Linked DNA regions of Saccharomyces cerevisiae S288C. The protein of the gene in region 4 purifies or fractionates together with the protein of the main gene of each other region. This does not show direct contact. Each region holds a gene or a part of one and is shown on either strand. Other genes may lie near its edges.

Region 1 (3,552 bases), 430 kb from region 4:
TCTGGATGGCTGTATCAAAGTTGTTGAAGCATGCGAAAAGGCTGGTATCAAAAGGTTCGTTGTTGTTTCAGCGCTCAAGGCGGAGGATAGAGATTTTTGGTATAACATTAAGGGTTTGCGTGAATACTATATTGCAAAGAGATCTGCTGATCGTGAGGTTAGAAACTCTAATTTGGATTACACTATTTTACAGCCTGGATCGTTGGAACTAAATAAAGGTACCGGTCTTTTGCAACCCCTTGACAAATTAGAAGAGAAGGCTTCTGTTAACTACTCCATTAACAGGGAGGATGTAGCTTCTTTTATTGTGGAAAGCTTGCTACATCCAAATGCAACAGTGAAAAAAACCATTTCGTTGGTAAATGGCAACGAGCCAATGGAAAAATTCATTCAAAGTTTGTAGATCAACCTATTTACGCGTGAAATGCATATGTAGATGAATAGTCAAGAAAAGAAAAAGAAAGTGAGAATATATGAATTTTTTTACCTTGATTTGAAGATAAAAATTTGTTATATTGTTACATTGAGTATACTAAATATATTCGTTGCATTTTTCGAAATTTTGTTGTTCGGTGATAGCCCTTAAAACGTCTTCATCAACAACGTCTTCATAGATCTCTTTCGGGATTTCCGACAGTCCCGTTTTCGGTTTATTCAAATCGTTATCGTGTATAACGGTCTCATACACAATGCTTGTGTCGCTGGGACTATCGTTTTTTGATCTCCTCCATCCTAAAACAGTGGTTGACTGTGTGGATTCTGGTATGTGTAATATATTTGTGTATGCATCTCTCAAGCCTTGTTGATCTACAAGAAGAACCTTCACTCTATCATAAAACAAATCGCTATTAAATCTACTACACGCAGCAGAATGCTGATAGAGCCAATTTGTAGAGCTCAGCTTACTACCTGATGCAATAATATTAGAATTACTCATGTGACCATGTGGCCTGTGTTCAAAGAATTCCACCTGGTTTTTTGCAGGGTTTATGCCATTCTCGGAAGCAGGATACATCATGGTTTCTAAGGCCCTTGCGGATTTATCAATAGGATCACCAGCAAGTTTTCCTTCAATTACATTTCCCTTTGTTCTTAATTCAGAAGCATAATAATCATCGGTTATATGTTTGCCGCCACGAATGATTTTAGCACCAAATTCTTTAAACACGCCTCTAGCGGTGACTAGAGCGATTTGTCTATTTCTATATGAATAAGGTAAAACGCCACGGTCTATCAAGTCGTTCTTTTGAGTTTGATTCAGAATGAACTTATAAAGGTTGGGGTGAGTTTGAAAAAATAAATATGAATCTCTAAAACCCACTATCCTAGCCGGTTCGGTGGCCAGCATAAACTTTCGATTCCCCTTCTCAGTTAATGTGAAGGTGCGCACTAAAAATTCTCTGCCTCCTAATAGATCACCATCTGCAGTTATCTTCGTCTCACCTTCAGGATCATCTGGTAGAACATATTCTTCATTGACCACTTTCAAAGGATTTAAGTTCTCCTCAGCATCATCGATTCCGGGAAATACTGGTTTTTTGAACTTTGAACGGTTTCTAGATCTAGTAACGCCTTTATCCTCTGACAAATCCTCTTCTTCGTCCACGTGCCTCCTTTTGTTTCTTCCGCTTTTATTTATCTGTTCCTCCTCATCACTTATTTCTTCTTCATTCACTCCCTCATTGGCTTCTTCTTCTCTGTAATCATCATCTTCATTCTCATCATTTTCATCAATATCTAAATCCTCAGTATCAATTGCATAATTGGGTCTGTTGCTAGTAGATCTTGACCGCTTCTCATGTTCAACTTCGGAAGCTAGACCTCCCTCTGAATCTGACATTTCTGCTAGATGGTATTTCCTTCTTCAAAAGTAAATGTACTGTATTCAGTAATGCTTAAACTTTATAAAGCTGTTTTCTTGCAATATTTTTGTCTGCTCACAGTAACATGTTTAATAGTTCGAACGGGTTTTTTTTTAAAAGAGCGAAGTAATCAAAGCATTCGGGTAATAATTACAAGTTTATATGGACTGTGGTAAAAACAGTGTAAAACTTTTTTATATCTATTTTTCTAAGGTTACGTAATTGTTTACTTTATATTCTTATCTCACTCGAGGACAACATTCCACCTTTTAATGCAAGCGTCCGCACCAGAACTAACCAAGGTAGATGGTGTTTCCCATAAAAGGTTGTTAACACCGTCCTTGTGAGCATTCAACGCCTTAATGATTTTCATAGGTCTTTTGACGGAGTAAATAAAAATATTGGTGTCTAAAGAACCAGTGGCAACTAAGTCCTCTTCAATTTCCTCTTCGTTTGCTCCCTTTTCAGCAGGTTTCCATGAAATGGCGTTGATTTTACTGGTGTGGAAAGCCCATCTTGAAGTTTTCACTTCTCTTGATTGTAAATCATATAGCAATATCTTGCCCATAACATCTCCAGCAGCGATGTATGTTTCAGATGGCGAAATTGATATGTACGAGGGTTTTGCGCGAAGAGGTGTTTTTAAATCAAAACTGACTTCCAAATCTGATAATTTGAATACCTGAATAGTATTACCTTCTTCCAAACCAACTGCAACGTAATTTTGGCTCAAGCTAACGGCAGAGCCTGGTGAGTTCAGTCTTACACTCTTGATTATATCGCCCGTAAAAGACTGTAATATCAACAAATCATCATCATTTGTTAGTACTGCAGTGAAGCCATCATTGTTCGCACTAGCAACCTTTGGTTGCGATCCAAATTCATGCTTAGTAATACCGTTCACTTTCAAAGTATCATCCCAAGAAATACTGGAGTATTCTTGCGCTTTACTATTATCCAATGATACAATCAAGTTGGAGTGATCTTGGTGCATGGAAGAGCTAGACCATTCCATAATCCTACCATCATATGACCCACTGATTAGTGGGTTGACTGTCAAAGCAGTAATACCCTTGTTATGACCACTAATGGTTTTTAAAACCTCGTCATGTCCAAGTTCATAGAAGTTTAAGGTCCCATCCAGTGAAAGAGAAATAATCCTTCCGTTTCCTGTTGCAACAACACCAACTTGTTGATTTCCCAGTTGTTGCTTGTCTAAGGTCCATTTTTGAACGCATTTTGAAGTCGTGACGTCCCAAACCCTAATGGTAGCGTCTGCTCCTACGGTAGCAAACTTTTGGGAATCAAGCCACGATAGTGCAAATATACCACCTTGAACTGGTTCTTGATCATCCTCTATGTATTTAAGAAACTCACCTGATTTGCCATCAAAGCAAGAAATCTTTCTGTCAGACCCTACCGTAATAACAAATTCACCGCTGTCAGGTGAAAATTCAACATCCCTGACAAATGAGCCTTGTTTGTGGTGTGTTCTGTCACTGGCAGAGAACTTAAATGGAGGTCCTTGATAAAAGACAACAGATCCATCATCTCCAACTGTCATAGATCTCATAGGTCTAGATTGCTTCAAATGACAAGCATTGATGCGTTGTGAGTGACCTGAAACTTCACCTAAGGAATTACCAGAATCCCAGGATATGAAAACACCAAAGTTATCACGACCTTCTCC
Region 2 (4,738 bases), on a different chromosome or scaffold from region 4:
TTTTGCGATTTCATCATCAGTGATTTCGACGTGTTTGCGCATTTGCTCAATTGCTTCATCTGTAACAACAGTTAAGCCCAATTCCTTCTCAGCAATAGCCAAATTTAACCATAGTTTTCTCCATGTGGAAAATCTGTTTCTCAAAGAAAACGTTGCTGACATTTCCTTGGAGGCATATCTAGAAGACAATGGCGTAGTGTAATTGTCATAGTCAGGCATCTTTTATATAATTCGGATAGTTTATTTCACTTTAGTTGTAGCAACTTACTGGAAAAGCTTTGGTCCTTGGGGAAGAAATTTTGAGAGGTTGGTGATGAAGTATAATTGTTTTATATGGCTACTATTAATACAACGATAATATATCTATAGATGACTTTCTTCTATATAATAACTTCTGTTTTATTTCATTTTCCTGCTTTGTTTGAAGTTTGACTCTGCTCGCGGAGGGTAATGCGCAATGGGAAGATATTATGCTGCCATTGCTTTTACAATAAAGGTGATCATGAAGACGACGAAGGAGGCCGCAGCATAGAGAGTCTGTGCGCCGTGAACTTAGCCGAGGGTCTTAATCCAAGGACAAATGGGCCTGGCAAGGACTCTTTCTCATTTTCAACATCCGGTTCTAAGCCATCATCATCTTTGTCCTTTCCAGTCACATCTTCCATGGTTTCTTCAACTTCTTCGTATTCTAGTTTTCTTTTCTTGTTAGTGGTAAACCACCTATTCAGTGGCAGGCTTAGGTGTGGGTCACCTGAATTTATTATTCGTTCATTTACTATCACACTAGGTCCTCTGAACCATAATATTTCACCCTTTGTTTTTTTCCATGGAAACATCTCTTCTCTTCCAGATCTCTTGGTTTGGCTGTGCAGATCAGTACGCTGCAAAACATCTACGTTTTTGGTTATAGAGATAGGTAAGACAAACGAGGAGGCTGCATCGATCATTATATTACCCAAATTACCTCTTGATGCCTGCGATGTTAAATCATCGATTATTGTTGGGATATTATAACGTGATGCTTGGGATCTTTTCTGTTGTTGGTATTGATGTTGCTGCTGTTGTAACCTTTGCAATTGGTGTTGCTTTAAACCTTGTACAGTAAGCGGGCCTCCCGCGCCAGGGGAACCAACTCTTGACAGTGGTATTTGTTGCTGGCCAATAGCATTTTGGTTTTCTAAAGACATAGATGACCTGTTATATCTTAAACTGGATAGTTTACTACTTGAGTATCCTGTTTTAGGAAGAGCATTTGCTGTTGGCGTGTTTGTGGTGATCGTACCTGTTTCTATATCCACTTGTCCCTCTTCGGGAGAATCGTTGGGTCTGATAATATACCTGGGACAGTCATCAGAGGTTGCATATTCCCCCAAATCGTCACGCTGCATTTTAGGTCTCATATAAACGGCACCGACCAATGGTGGCGCGTCCGGGGATCCCATCGTTGGTTCAGGAACGCGATCATGCGGCGTTGCATTAGCTGGTAGTAGATGTCTTATGGGGGAAGGATATTTGAAGAACTTTCTACCATTTACCGGAATGGTAGCTTCGTCCAAATCACGAATTTCCTCTGGTAAGCAAGCCTTCCAGGTTCTAATCTTGTTAAAAATTTTATCGGATTCATTATAACGGAATTCGCAAACGAACAAGGGACCCTCCAATTTCATATCGGGATTACCACGTTGATATCTAGTAAAGTGAATCACATAGCATTTCCCAACTAAGTTTGACACTAAATGATCACGGTACTGACCTGTTTTCATAACTTCGTTTTTGTAAAACAATCTATCCACTCTATGCACAGTTTGTTCGGGTCTGTAATACCAACAAGCGTTTAACCATTGTTTCCCATCTGGTGTCTTCCATAGCCTGAATATTTGGCCCACTATAGGTTTTTGAGGATCATTTTGATTTCGAAGAAGTGCCCAATCTCCCACGTGGTATGATATATTATTTACAATGACTTCATCTAGAGGGTATCTTAGCTCGCCTTCTGGAATGAAACTTCTATCAGGTTTGGATAGTTCGAATCTTGCCAGACTAGTAAAGGTCTTTTCTAAGATATTTGAAATTTTTATGCTTTCAGGATCACCTCTGTGCGAAATTCTAAAGTTGGTTAACATAAGATTAAAATCATTCTGGAACTCCTGGAACGTTTTATAACGACGAGTCTTTACCTTTTTATTTATGTCTTGAAGACTAATTGGATTAGCAATCATGATGTAGTAATTTGCATCTCTGTGTCTATCGGGCAATCTTTCAAAAAGATCAGTTAGACCAATTCCACTATCTAGCACCTCTTTTTTTAGTACTTTCATAACATTTTTCATTCTTTGAATATACGGTAAGTCGATGATTGGGGGTCTCCCACGCTTTACCTGAGTTCTGGATACCTGTCTATGCCTTGGGCCTAACGGCTGAGGGGTGCCTGAGTGAGATGGAGTAGTGGACCTGTTGTCTCTTAATGGTTTCCGAGTATATGGATTAATATTTATTAGTGGCTTTCTTATCAAATCAGGAAAATCAGCATCCTTAGGGTTATCGATATCCATATCCGTCGCCTCATAGTCCTCATCATTATTTGTATCGGTTCCTGGTTCTGATTCTCTTTTGACGGAAGTACGAGTCTTTCTTAATCTTCTGGCTGCTTCTGTTGAATTCATTGAAGAGCTCGACTCGGCTCTGGCTGCATTAGCTCTCGCTACTTCCTCAGCTTTTTCTCTTAATTTCTGTTGAAACTCTTCATAACCTGGTTCATCGGGTAGAGGACCCAAATCAGGATACACTAATTGAGGATATTTTTCTTTTAAATTTGGATAGATTGTGTCCTTTAAATATTTCTCAAGGACTAAGGCGTATTTATAAATTCCTGAATCTCTTGTATTGTAAGTCTTGGCATTCCATGGAATCTGGACAACATCGTTCATAAACTGTTGAGCATCTGTATAATGTGGAATACGCTTTTTTAAAGTATTGAAAGATACAGGGTTCTTGATCACTGCGTAGTAGTCAGGATAATCCTTTTTAGGTGGAAGGACATTGAATATTGGTGAAATCTCTAACCCAGAATCTTCCTTTAAAGTGAAAAGAGATTCATATTCTTTCCTCAGGTCCTTGTATAATGCGCTTGAGTTTTGAGTGGACGAGTTTGAATTGTCATCAGGCATCATGCACTGTCAATGTAGAATATTCTCCGCTTCGTCTGGTTCTGCGCGACGTGCTGTATATTTGATCACGTATTGAACTGTTACCAATACTTTTTTCAGCTGTGTTGTTTTCTCTATTTTCTCACTTTAACATGCGAATTTTCGCACGACTCTCGGCCGGGTGAGAAAAGTCAGTGACAGTAATAAACCAAGTGCAAGAGCACCTACAAATGTGCTTATTACAGTGTATTATTATGTATATATGTGCATACGTGTGTGTATGCACAATTTTTGAACATACTGTCTTTTGAACGTTTGAAAACTCGTAGGAATATATAAAAAAACTGCAAATTACTACACACTTTATTTTTGGAGAGAGAGAGGAGCCGAGTTCAGGCAGCTACAAATTCTTGTAGAGATAAATACGTGAACGAGAAACACTAGATAAATTGTCCTTCCCCATAAACGCCAATAACGGCTTGTACAAAGCCAACAATAGCAATAGCAGTTGCTGCAATTAGATTTTTAGTATGGATTGGGGGACCGGTGTGCAATGCCTCTGCCGGCTTTGATACTGTGGTTGCTGCAGGCTTCCCGTCTCGAGGTGTATTTTCTGAAGCATGGTTGTCTTCACCTAAATCAATAATAGAATCGCTCAGTTCGGAAGCAGCGAGTTTGCTGTCTTCGGGAAATAAAGAAGATTCCTTAGAGACTTTACTGTACTTTCTAGACTGATAGTTGGAGGCACATCCTAGAACAAATGAAGATAATGGAGCTACAAGCATACCATAGAGTAAGTAGGGGTGTCTCAATGAGGGAGGAGCGCCGAAAAAGCTCACACAAAAGAAAGTTGACGCAAACGCTCCCAAGGCGGTGGCCGCATTTTTCAAAGTGGTTAAAGTGGGAGTAAGGGATCCTGTTAAAACCTCTAGTGGAGTAGTAGATGTAATCAATGAAGCGGAAGCCAAAAGACCAGAGTAGAGGCCTATAGAAGAAACTGCGATACCTTTTGTGATGGCTAAACAAACAGACATCTTTTTATATGTTTTTACTTCTGTATATCGTGAAGTAGTAAGTGATAAGCGAATTTGGCTAAGAACGTTGTAAGTGAACAAGGGACCTCTTTTGCCTTTCAAAAAAGGATTAAATGGAGTTAATCATTGAGATTTAGTTTTCGTTAGATTCTGTATCCCTAAATAACTCCCTTACCCGACGGGAAGGCACAAAAGACTTGAATAATAGCAAACGGCCAGTAGCCAAGACCAAATAATACTAGAGTTAACTGATGGTCTTAAACAGGCATTACGTGGTGAACTCCAAGACCAATATACAAAATATCGATAAGTTATTCTTGCCCACCAATTTAAGGAGCCTACATCAGGACAGTAGTACCATTCCTCAGAGAAGAGGTATACATAACAAGAAAATCGCGTGAACACCTTATATAACTTAGCCCGTTATTGAGCTAAAAAACCTTGCAAAATTTCCTATGAATAAGAATACTTCAGACGTGATAAAAATTTACTTTCTAACTCTTCTCACGCTGCCCCTATCTGTTCTTCCGCTCTACCGTGAGAAATAAAGCATCGAGT
Region 3 (3,458 bases), on a different chromosome or scaffold from region 4:
GGGCGTTATGTATTGAGTGCGCAACAGACGACACCTTTAATAGTAATAGTGATTTGATCGCCGCAAAAGATGCGTTTTTGGTATCTGTGTTGAGAATCGCAGATGGGTTTTGGGAGCATGACAAACTTTTGCAGCTAAGGATGCTTGATAGTAATATGAACATACCTAATCAGATTCCTCATACTACTTTGCAAAGTTCGCTATCTGCGATTGTAATAAAGATAATAGAAAGTAATATAGGAAAAATTGAGGCGTCTGAACCTTTCAAAACCTTCAAGAATACGTAAATTATACACATGTAATATAAGCATATTTAAAAATTCTCCGTAATATATGTCATATATGTCAAATTGCGAATTAGTCCAAATAGAAACAAGATCTATCAGTGTTGGTGATAAACATTTTGTATTCTTTTGGTAACGTGTATCTCAAAGAAGTGCATGACTTTTTTTACGTTCTCTTTAGTCTTGATTTAGTTGCTTCTGCGTTTGTTAAATTTTTTGTCCTTCCCGTTTGATTAATAATACTTATAATAATACAATTCTGTAACAAGAAAAGCAAAGTTACTACATTCTCATTGTGGTTTCTAAGTCATCTAATCTTCTCCTGCCCCTTCTAGATAATCTATCAGTTTCTCTTTTCAATCTTCTTAAGTTTCTTTCTTTTTCAATTTCTCTCTTTTGTATTTCTTCTTTTGTTAATATTTCCACCCTTGGGCACCAATTGGAGCCCAGTTCATCAATATCCAGCCTTATACCAGATAAGTACCCAAATGCGGCATCGTTTGGGACATGGTCCTGAATCAAGTGGCCATCTACCCAGTCCTTCTTTATCTTCAAGATAGTTTCATGAAGCGATTGAGATATTAAGGGGATGAACTCTCTTGTTAAGCCAAGGTCCTGTACAATGGATGTAGCAAATCTTTCTGGAGTAAGTGATTTGTCGTTCAAGTTCCACTGGAAGTTATCTTCAAAAAATCTGTCTTGTAAGTTGCAGGTTAGGTTGATTATCACGTGGAGGTCAGACATTATCTCAGTGGCTGCAATATTTTCGAGGTCTTTCAACTGCTCTTTTATTATATTCGCAATTTGAGTTTGTAAGGTAGCGGAAGTCATATCAAGATCTTTACAGTATATAGAGGCAAATTCCTCCGGAGATATGGAGTCGTCATTGTAGTTCCAGAGAAACTGGTCTTTTATGGTATGACCCATATGTTCTATATCCAAAGTAATTGGTATCATGATTGCCTCTCCAGAATTGGCGTTTGCCTTCGTTTCTTGATCAGTGTTGAGTCTATATGGAGACACCACTTTTCCGTTAATGAAAGTATCTCTTATTTTAGGGTATCTCAATATGTTGAAGGGGTTGTGGTGTTGGTCTTGCAGATCCGGTAGAACGGCGTTTCCAATATCCTGTGCCTGCGCTTTGTTGCTCGGACCATTGCTGGCGTTGTTATTGCTATTCAAACCGGATAAAGATTCCACAACCATGTTTGAACCCGCATCGTATTTGTTGTTAGAGATAATACTATCAGCTCCATTCATGTTCTCTAGGACATTGTATTCGGAACCGTCCATGGTAACACCATTTGTAAGTGCCGGAGTATTTTCATGAGACACTGCATTATCTTTATAGTGTGTATCAGCATTGTTGAAATTAGAACCGTTCATATTGAATTCATCAAAGAGATCGTTGTCATATTCCGCATAGTTGACCACTTTAGCCCTTTTATGCTGCCTTGTTTGTTGAGCCATTGTAAAGATGGGGATACCATCATCTTCGTTTGTCAATCTGTTATGAAAGTTAGAAATATAAGCTTGTGGAATAAGCTGGTTTTGGTGCGACATTGTGTGCTGCTATGTGCCTTTCTTCTTTCTTTTTTCAATGTACTTCATTCAATAATCTCTATTTGTCGTATTTTCTAAGTTTTTTTTTTTTGTCAAAGTAGTCGCGGCGACTTTAAATGAGCAGATCATCATTTAGTAGACAAAAAGACACGGGACATCTTCTATCTATATAGTTTACATACTTTATTATGTGAAAGAGTCTTTCGAAATTGCAACAATGCTCGATAAATCTATGGGTCATGTGCTCTATAATTCCTGTACATTAGCATCGGGTGCGTGTAATTTTTGGGGTGATATGGCATTCTCCATCAACTTTTCCTTTTATTTAGCATCTTCTGTAAGTCAGATGCTACTTTTGCACTGCCGTGGGTCTCCTTGTGGCATATAAAGCATTTGGTGCCCTTTTTCATATCTTTGGCAAAACACGATCCACAAAAATAATGGCCACAGTTTGTGACCACTGGAGACTTGTAATCTTCCTTACAAAGAGTGCACTTGAACGGTATCTTTTCCAAGTCTAGAGTAACCGCTTTGGAGTCCTCTTTATCCGCATTCCATTCTTGGTTCAGCTTCCAGCCAGTCTTGAAATCATCCCTCGAGTGTAAGAACTTGCAGCTATCTCCGTAACCACAGTATCCCGTCTGTTTGTAATCTTTGCAAACGTCGGGCTGAAAATCCATCAGCACCGTGGTCCGGATATTCGTTGGTTGGTTAATCTGTTTAGTGAGGCGTTTATTTTTACCGCTCATGTTCAGTACCAGCTCATTGTCATCACTAGGTCGCCTCTTCTTTGCCTTCTCAGCCAGCTCTTTTCTCTCAAAGTTTAGAAGATCTTCTTTAGTGCTGTCGTCGTTGACCGTTAAAGTGTATTTATCTAAATCCTCACCCTTTTTCTGTAGTTTACCTTCATTCTCATGTGAAAGTTGAAGTGTCCTGCTATTTCCACTCTTGGCTAAGCTCATGAGGTCACTGGAACCCTTTTCTTCATCGCTGGCCACTAGTTTCTCTTCGCTAAAATTAATTTTCTGCCTCTTTTTCTGGTTCTTTTCATCAGAAGAGCTTTTGTTCACTAATCTCTTTCTGAACATGAATACCTGGAGCTTTGATTAAGTGATGGAGCTTTCGATGGCTTTAGCTTGAGTCCACTTCAGATAGAGATGCGCATGGCTTTTTCTTATTATTCTCCGGTTGCACGGAAAGAAGCGGGAAGAGGACTAAAGGGTTTTTGGATCAGCTTCACAAAATATATACTTGGATACGTTCGCTACTGAGGTAAAGTGGGCATGCAAGGTTGCAATTTAGGATTCGAGCTGTCTAGTTGATCCTCCGGAGTGTAAAAACTGATTTTCAATGAGTGGTAACACAACTAACGTGCATGAGACTAGAGCCAAGTTTGCAGAGACGCTGCAACCGAGGATTGGTGGCAATACTACAAAAGTGATACGAGCTGCTTTGGAAAAGAACGAAGCTGAAAGCGGGGTGTCTGAGGATAATGATAACGGGTCATTGGAGAAAGTTAACGTAGCTACTTCGCCGCTTTTGACATCAACACCGCCCACAATCTCAAAGGCGTTGGTGAAATTGTACCCTTATTTAATTCTCATTGACGAA
Region 4 (3,920 bases):
TCAGCAAACCAACCCTTTATGTCATCCAAAGACCAGTTACTGTTGTCAAAGTATTTTTGGTAGTCTTTTGGCAGGATCTTGAGTTTTTCGTTTCTGGATTTTTTGACTAATTCTCTCAATTGATGTTCAGTAGACAGCATTGAGTACTTAATACCACGAGCATCTAAAAACATTTTCAATTTGTCCTTTGGCCAAGAGTCTAGGCCAACCAAAAAAGTATCATTGATCACATTGTCAGTCTTACCTCTGAACTTGGAGTACAAATTTGTGAGGAAATTTTTAGAAGAGTCCCAAACGGAACCAACGTATTCTGGGGTCTTGGTCAAAAATGGAGAAGACTCTCTTTTCATATAGTCCAGGTACCAGTAGATATCATCTTTCAAATTGGCAGAATTTTCTTTGGCCATTCTAACCAAATAGTCGTGTTTCTTGGCCATGTTCTTGTCAATATTGACCTTGTGGCTCTCCAACCAATTGGTTAACTGATCACTAGACCACTTGTCAAATACAGTGTCTTTTATTTGTCCCGATGTGTCTAATATTTGTTGGTGAGCCAAATCCAAGCTTTCTAGCAAACCCAGACGCTGCTGTTCTGCCTTTTCTGAAGTTCGGTAGATGTTTTCCTTGACTTTCTGAACTAGCTCGTCCTTGCTTTGAACTGCCTTGTCGTAGTCGATACCATTGTCATTCAACCAGTTTTGCAAATCTTTGGTTGACCAGCTATCAAAGTAAGAGCTAGAAGGATAGTATCCCGACGACTTCAAAGATTTGGAAATCTTGTTGAAGTTCTCCTTAGCAGTCTTCACCAGCGAGTCCTTGGAAGCCTTAGCGTCGTCAACATCCACGCCGTTTTTCTTCAAGAAGTTACGTAGACTGTCTGTGGACCAGGTGTCAAAGAGCCAGTCAGAAACTGGGTGATCCGAAGAACCAGTATAACCAAACCATCCGGGGTTACTGTTGCTCACGCTACTGCTGTCACTAGACCACACCTGCCACCATGGTTTGGGCTGCGCGTGTTTGTCCCATACCTGCGATGCCTCCGTTTTCAAGTCCTCAATGGAGTCTGTAGCGTACTTTTCCAAGCTCTTCTTATTATCACGTAAATAATCGGCCAGGTCTTCCTGCGTCCACTTGTCGAACACTGAATCTGAATTGGCCAACACTAAGCCAATAAGCACAAATGATGCGGAAACCGCATTAACCAACTTGAATTGCTTCATCTTCTTCTCTTAATTAACAGTTCTTTTGTAGTTGTCTCCTCTTCTATTGCAGATCCTCTTCTAAACTCCGGTAATCTAATCATGCTAGGAATACGACTCCATGAGTGGCTTTAAATACCCTGTCGATCCCCTTTCACCGCCTCCTTGTTTCCTCCCTCTCCCTTATTTTCCTTCAGTTCCAAAGATCCCTTATTCTTCCCCTCTAAGGTGAGGCCGGCGTAATGCTGTTGCTTACCGACGTAATGGTGGAAAAGGTGAAAAAAGTGAAAATAGTGATATTCTTAGAGAAAAACGAAAACAACAAGTCGTGTCAAGAGGTAGTGTTTTGGGAAAGACGTCATAGAGAAAGGCAGAAAGCTTGTAAAGAAGTGGAAATAAAGATTGAAGATGAACTCGTTAGCTTCAAACACACCGCTAAATGGTACTCCAGTAAGCGAGGCACCCGCCACAAGCTCCGAGCCTGTGAACATGTTCGAGACAATGGTGGCTAACCCTATTAAAGTGTCTCGATTACAGTCTAATGGAGTTCTGACGGGACCTGCAGCCAATACTAAGTCCATCCACTATTCGCTGGCCAATTTTAATGTGTTCCAGTCGCTACCCAAGGAAACGGCCAGAGGTGTAGACGATTTGACGAGGATGGAGATGGCGTTACTGAGTGGGATACCGGAGGAGATTAAGTGGTCTTTAAAAAAATATCTTACGTATAGTAACAAGGCGCCATATATGATCAGCTTACGGACATTGCCGGACCTGTTGCCACTTTTCAAGACTTTCATATTGCCTTTGGAGCGCATCGTGGAAGGTCTTAACAAATCGTCTATATGTGATTCAAAGGCGATGGATTCTCTACAAATGGGTCTAAATGCCTTGCTGATCCTAAGGAATCTGGCTCAAGATACTGATTCGGTGCAGATACTAGTCAAGGATCGAGAAATCAAATCTTTCATTCTTTTCATTTTGAAGAAGTTTCAGTGCGTCGCTACAGGCGATAACAAGTGGCAATTGTACGAAGGAAATGCAACTTTTTTTAACGAGTTGACCCATTATACTCTGGACTTGATGGAGGCCATTTCGTCCTATATTGCTCCTGCAATGAAGGATGATCATTATTTCCAAACGCTGGTGTCCATCTTGAACTACACTAAGGACAGATACATGGTTATTTCTATATTGAGGTCTCTTTCAAGATTACTGGTTAGGTCCAAAGCTAACGAGGAAAGTGCAGCGGACAATTTGGACCATAAGACTCTTTCGTTGATCGTTTCCTTTTTACTGTTAGAATGCGATAGTGAGCTGATTATTGCTTCGTTGGATTTCCTCTATCAATACATTTTGCCCGGTTCTCAAAGAATCACTGAGTTATTCAAGAGTAAGGAGTGCTCTTTGATACTGGAAGCCACGCTGCCTAATTTATTATCATATAATATCGCCACACCAGATTACCATCTTTTGCAAAAGCACAAAATTAGGTTGATTAAAAGGTTGAAGCCTCCCGCTCCAAAGGAGCCTCCCAATTTATCTGAGGATCTGTTTCAACAACTTTTCAAACTTAACGAGCCCTTGAGGTCAACCGCTTGGTTGAGATGTTGCTTTGAGCCTGTACAAGAAGCAGAATTTACACAAATATCGCTTTGGAGATCCTACGAATCCAAATTTGGTCAGCCTGTTCGCGAATCCGGACGCAAATTGTTACCTGCCGTGGAATTCATCAAGAATGTCTCGAATGCTTTCAATAACGCCGCTGCTATCGTAATCACTGACCCGGTAACCGGCAAGAAAAGGTTTGTTATCAAGGGCATTCAACCAAGATTTAAAGCTTTGGGTATTGCAGACGGGGAAAGAGAATCCCAGGTACCCATTTCGGCACTAAAATCCAAATTTTTGAATGACTCTAAGGAAATTACACCTGCAAGACAAAACAGCATACCAGAGGTCAAATTCCCTCAAGAACTCTCAGATGTTTCTAAAGTGGCCTGTACGTTTTTGTGCCTTTTATCCAACGACACGGATGATGGTGCTGGTTCCGCATTTTGTCAACGCATCAGGCCACTGGTTCTACATAAATTGGCTGATATTCCACCTTTAACATTAGCATTGTCTGAATACATGGAAAACACGTCGGGGTTATGAATGAGAAAAAAAATCGGTTGGGCTTAACTTTAAAGAAAAAAGTTGAGATTAGATTTATTGTGTTATAAATATAGATATACAATTCTTTATAAAAAAAATATATATATATATCATTGTTATTAAATAAAGAGTTTTCCTAGTATATAGATTAAAAAACTACTCTATTAAATGAGAGCTAAAAAAAGCAGGCTGCCAAAAAAATAAAGCATTTATGAAGGGGGTTCAGCAAGATGCAATCGATGGGGGAAGATTATTTTTTAACATCGTAAGATCTTCTAAATTTGTCATCGATGTTGGTCAAGTAGTAAACACCACTTTGCAAATGCTCAATGGAACCTTGAGGTTTGAAGTTCTTCTTCAAATGGGCATTTTCTCTCAATTCGATGGCAGCTTCGTAATCCTTTGGAGTTTCGGTGATTCTCTTGGCTAATTTGTTAGTAATATCTAATTCCTTGATAATATGTTGGACGTCACCAACAATTTTGCAAGAATATAGAGATGCAGCTAAACCGGAACCGTAAGAAAATAAACCAACACGCTTGCCTTGTAAGTCGTCAGATCCAACAT

Evidence for each region.
Region 1: the proteins of RSC9 (region 4) and NPL6 purify together in Saccharomyces cerevisiae (affinity purification with mass spectrometry; 6 studies listed by BioGRID). This does not show direct contact.
Region 2: the proteins of RSC9 (region 4) and RSC2 purify together in Saccharomyces cerevisiae (affinity purification with mass spectrometry; 13 studies listed by BioGRID, with this or other methods). This does not show direct contact.
Region 3: the proteins of RSC9 (region 4) and SFH1 purify together in Saccharomyces cerevisiae (affinity purification with mass spectrometry; 5 studies listed by BioGRID). This does not show direct contact.

Annotation. Positions count from the first base shown.
Region 1 is NC_001145.3:449,526-453,077, forward strand, and holds NPL6 (Npl6p), read right to left. Parts: upstream 1,841-3,552; coding exon 533-1,840; downstream 1-532. Other genes in the region: YMR090W (uncharacterized protein), read left to right, coding at 1-403; AIP1 (Aip1p), read right to left, coding at 2,107-3,552. UniProt on the Saccharomyces cerevisiae protein: Component of the chromatin structure remodeling complex (RSC), which is involved in transcription regulation and nucleosome positioning. RSC is responsible for the transfer of a histone octamer from a nucleosome core particle to naked DNA.
Region 2 is NC_001144.5:839,763-844,500, reverse strand, and holds RSC2 (Rsc2p), read right to left. Parts: upstream 3,171-4,738; coding exon 501-3,170; downstream 1-500. Other genes in the region: adenylosuccinase ADE13, read right to left, coding at 1-219; YLR358C (uncharacterized protein), read left to right, coding at 451-1,014; ATG33 (Atg33p), read right to left, coding at 3,587-4,180. UniProt on the Saccharomyces cerevisiae protein: Component of the chromatin structure remodeling complex (RSC), which is involved in transcription regulation and nucleosome positioning. RSC is responsible for the transfer of a histone octamer from a nucleosome core particle to naked DNA.
Region 3 is NC_001144.5:776,018-779,475, forward strand, and holds SFH1 (Sfh1p), read right to left. Parts: upstream 1,848-3,458; coding exon 567-1,847; downstream 1-566. Other genes in the region: MMS22 (Mms22p), read left to right, coding at 1-287; U2-type spliceosomal complex subunit CWC24, read right to left, coding at 2,156-2,935; PEX30 (peroxisome biogenesis protein), read left to right, coding at 3,198-3,458. UniProt on the Saccharomyces cerevisiae protein: Component of the chromatin structure-remodeling complex (RSC), which is involved in transcription regulation and nucleosome positioning. RSC is responsible for the transfer of a histone octamer from a nucleosome core particle to naked DNA.
Region 4 is NC_001145.3:15,457-19,376, forward strand, and holds RSC9 (Rsc9p), read left to right. Parts: upstream 1-1,607; coding exon 1,608-3,353; downstream 3,354-3,920. Other genes in the region: double-strand break repair enhancer MSC1, read right to left, coding at 1-1,220; ERG13 (hydroxymethylglutaryl-CoA synthase), read right to left, coding at 3,604-3,920.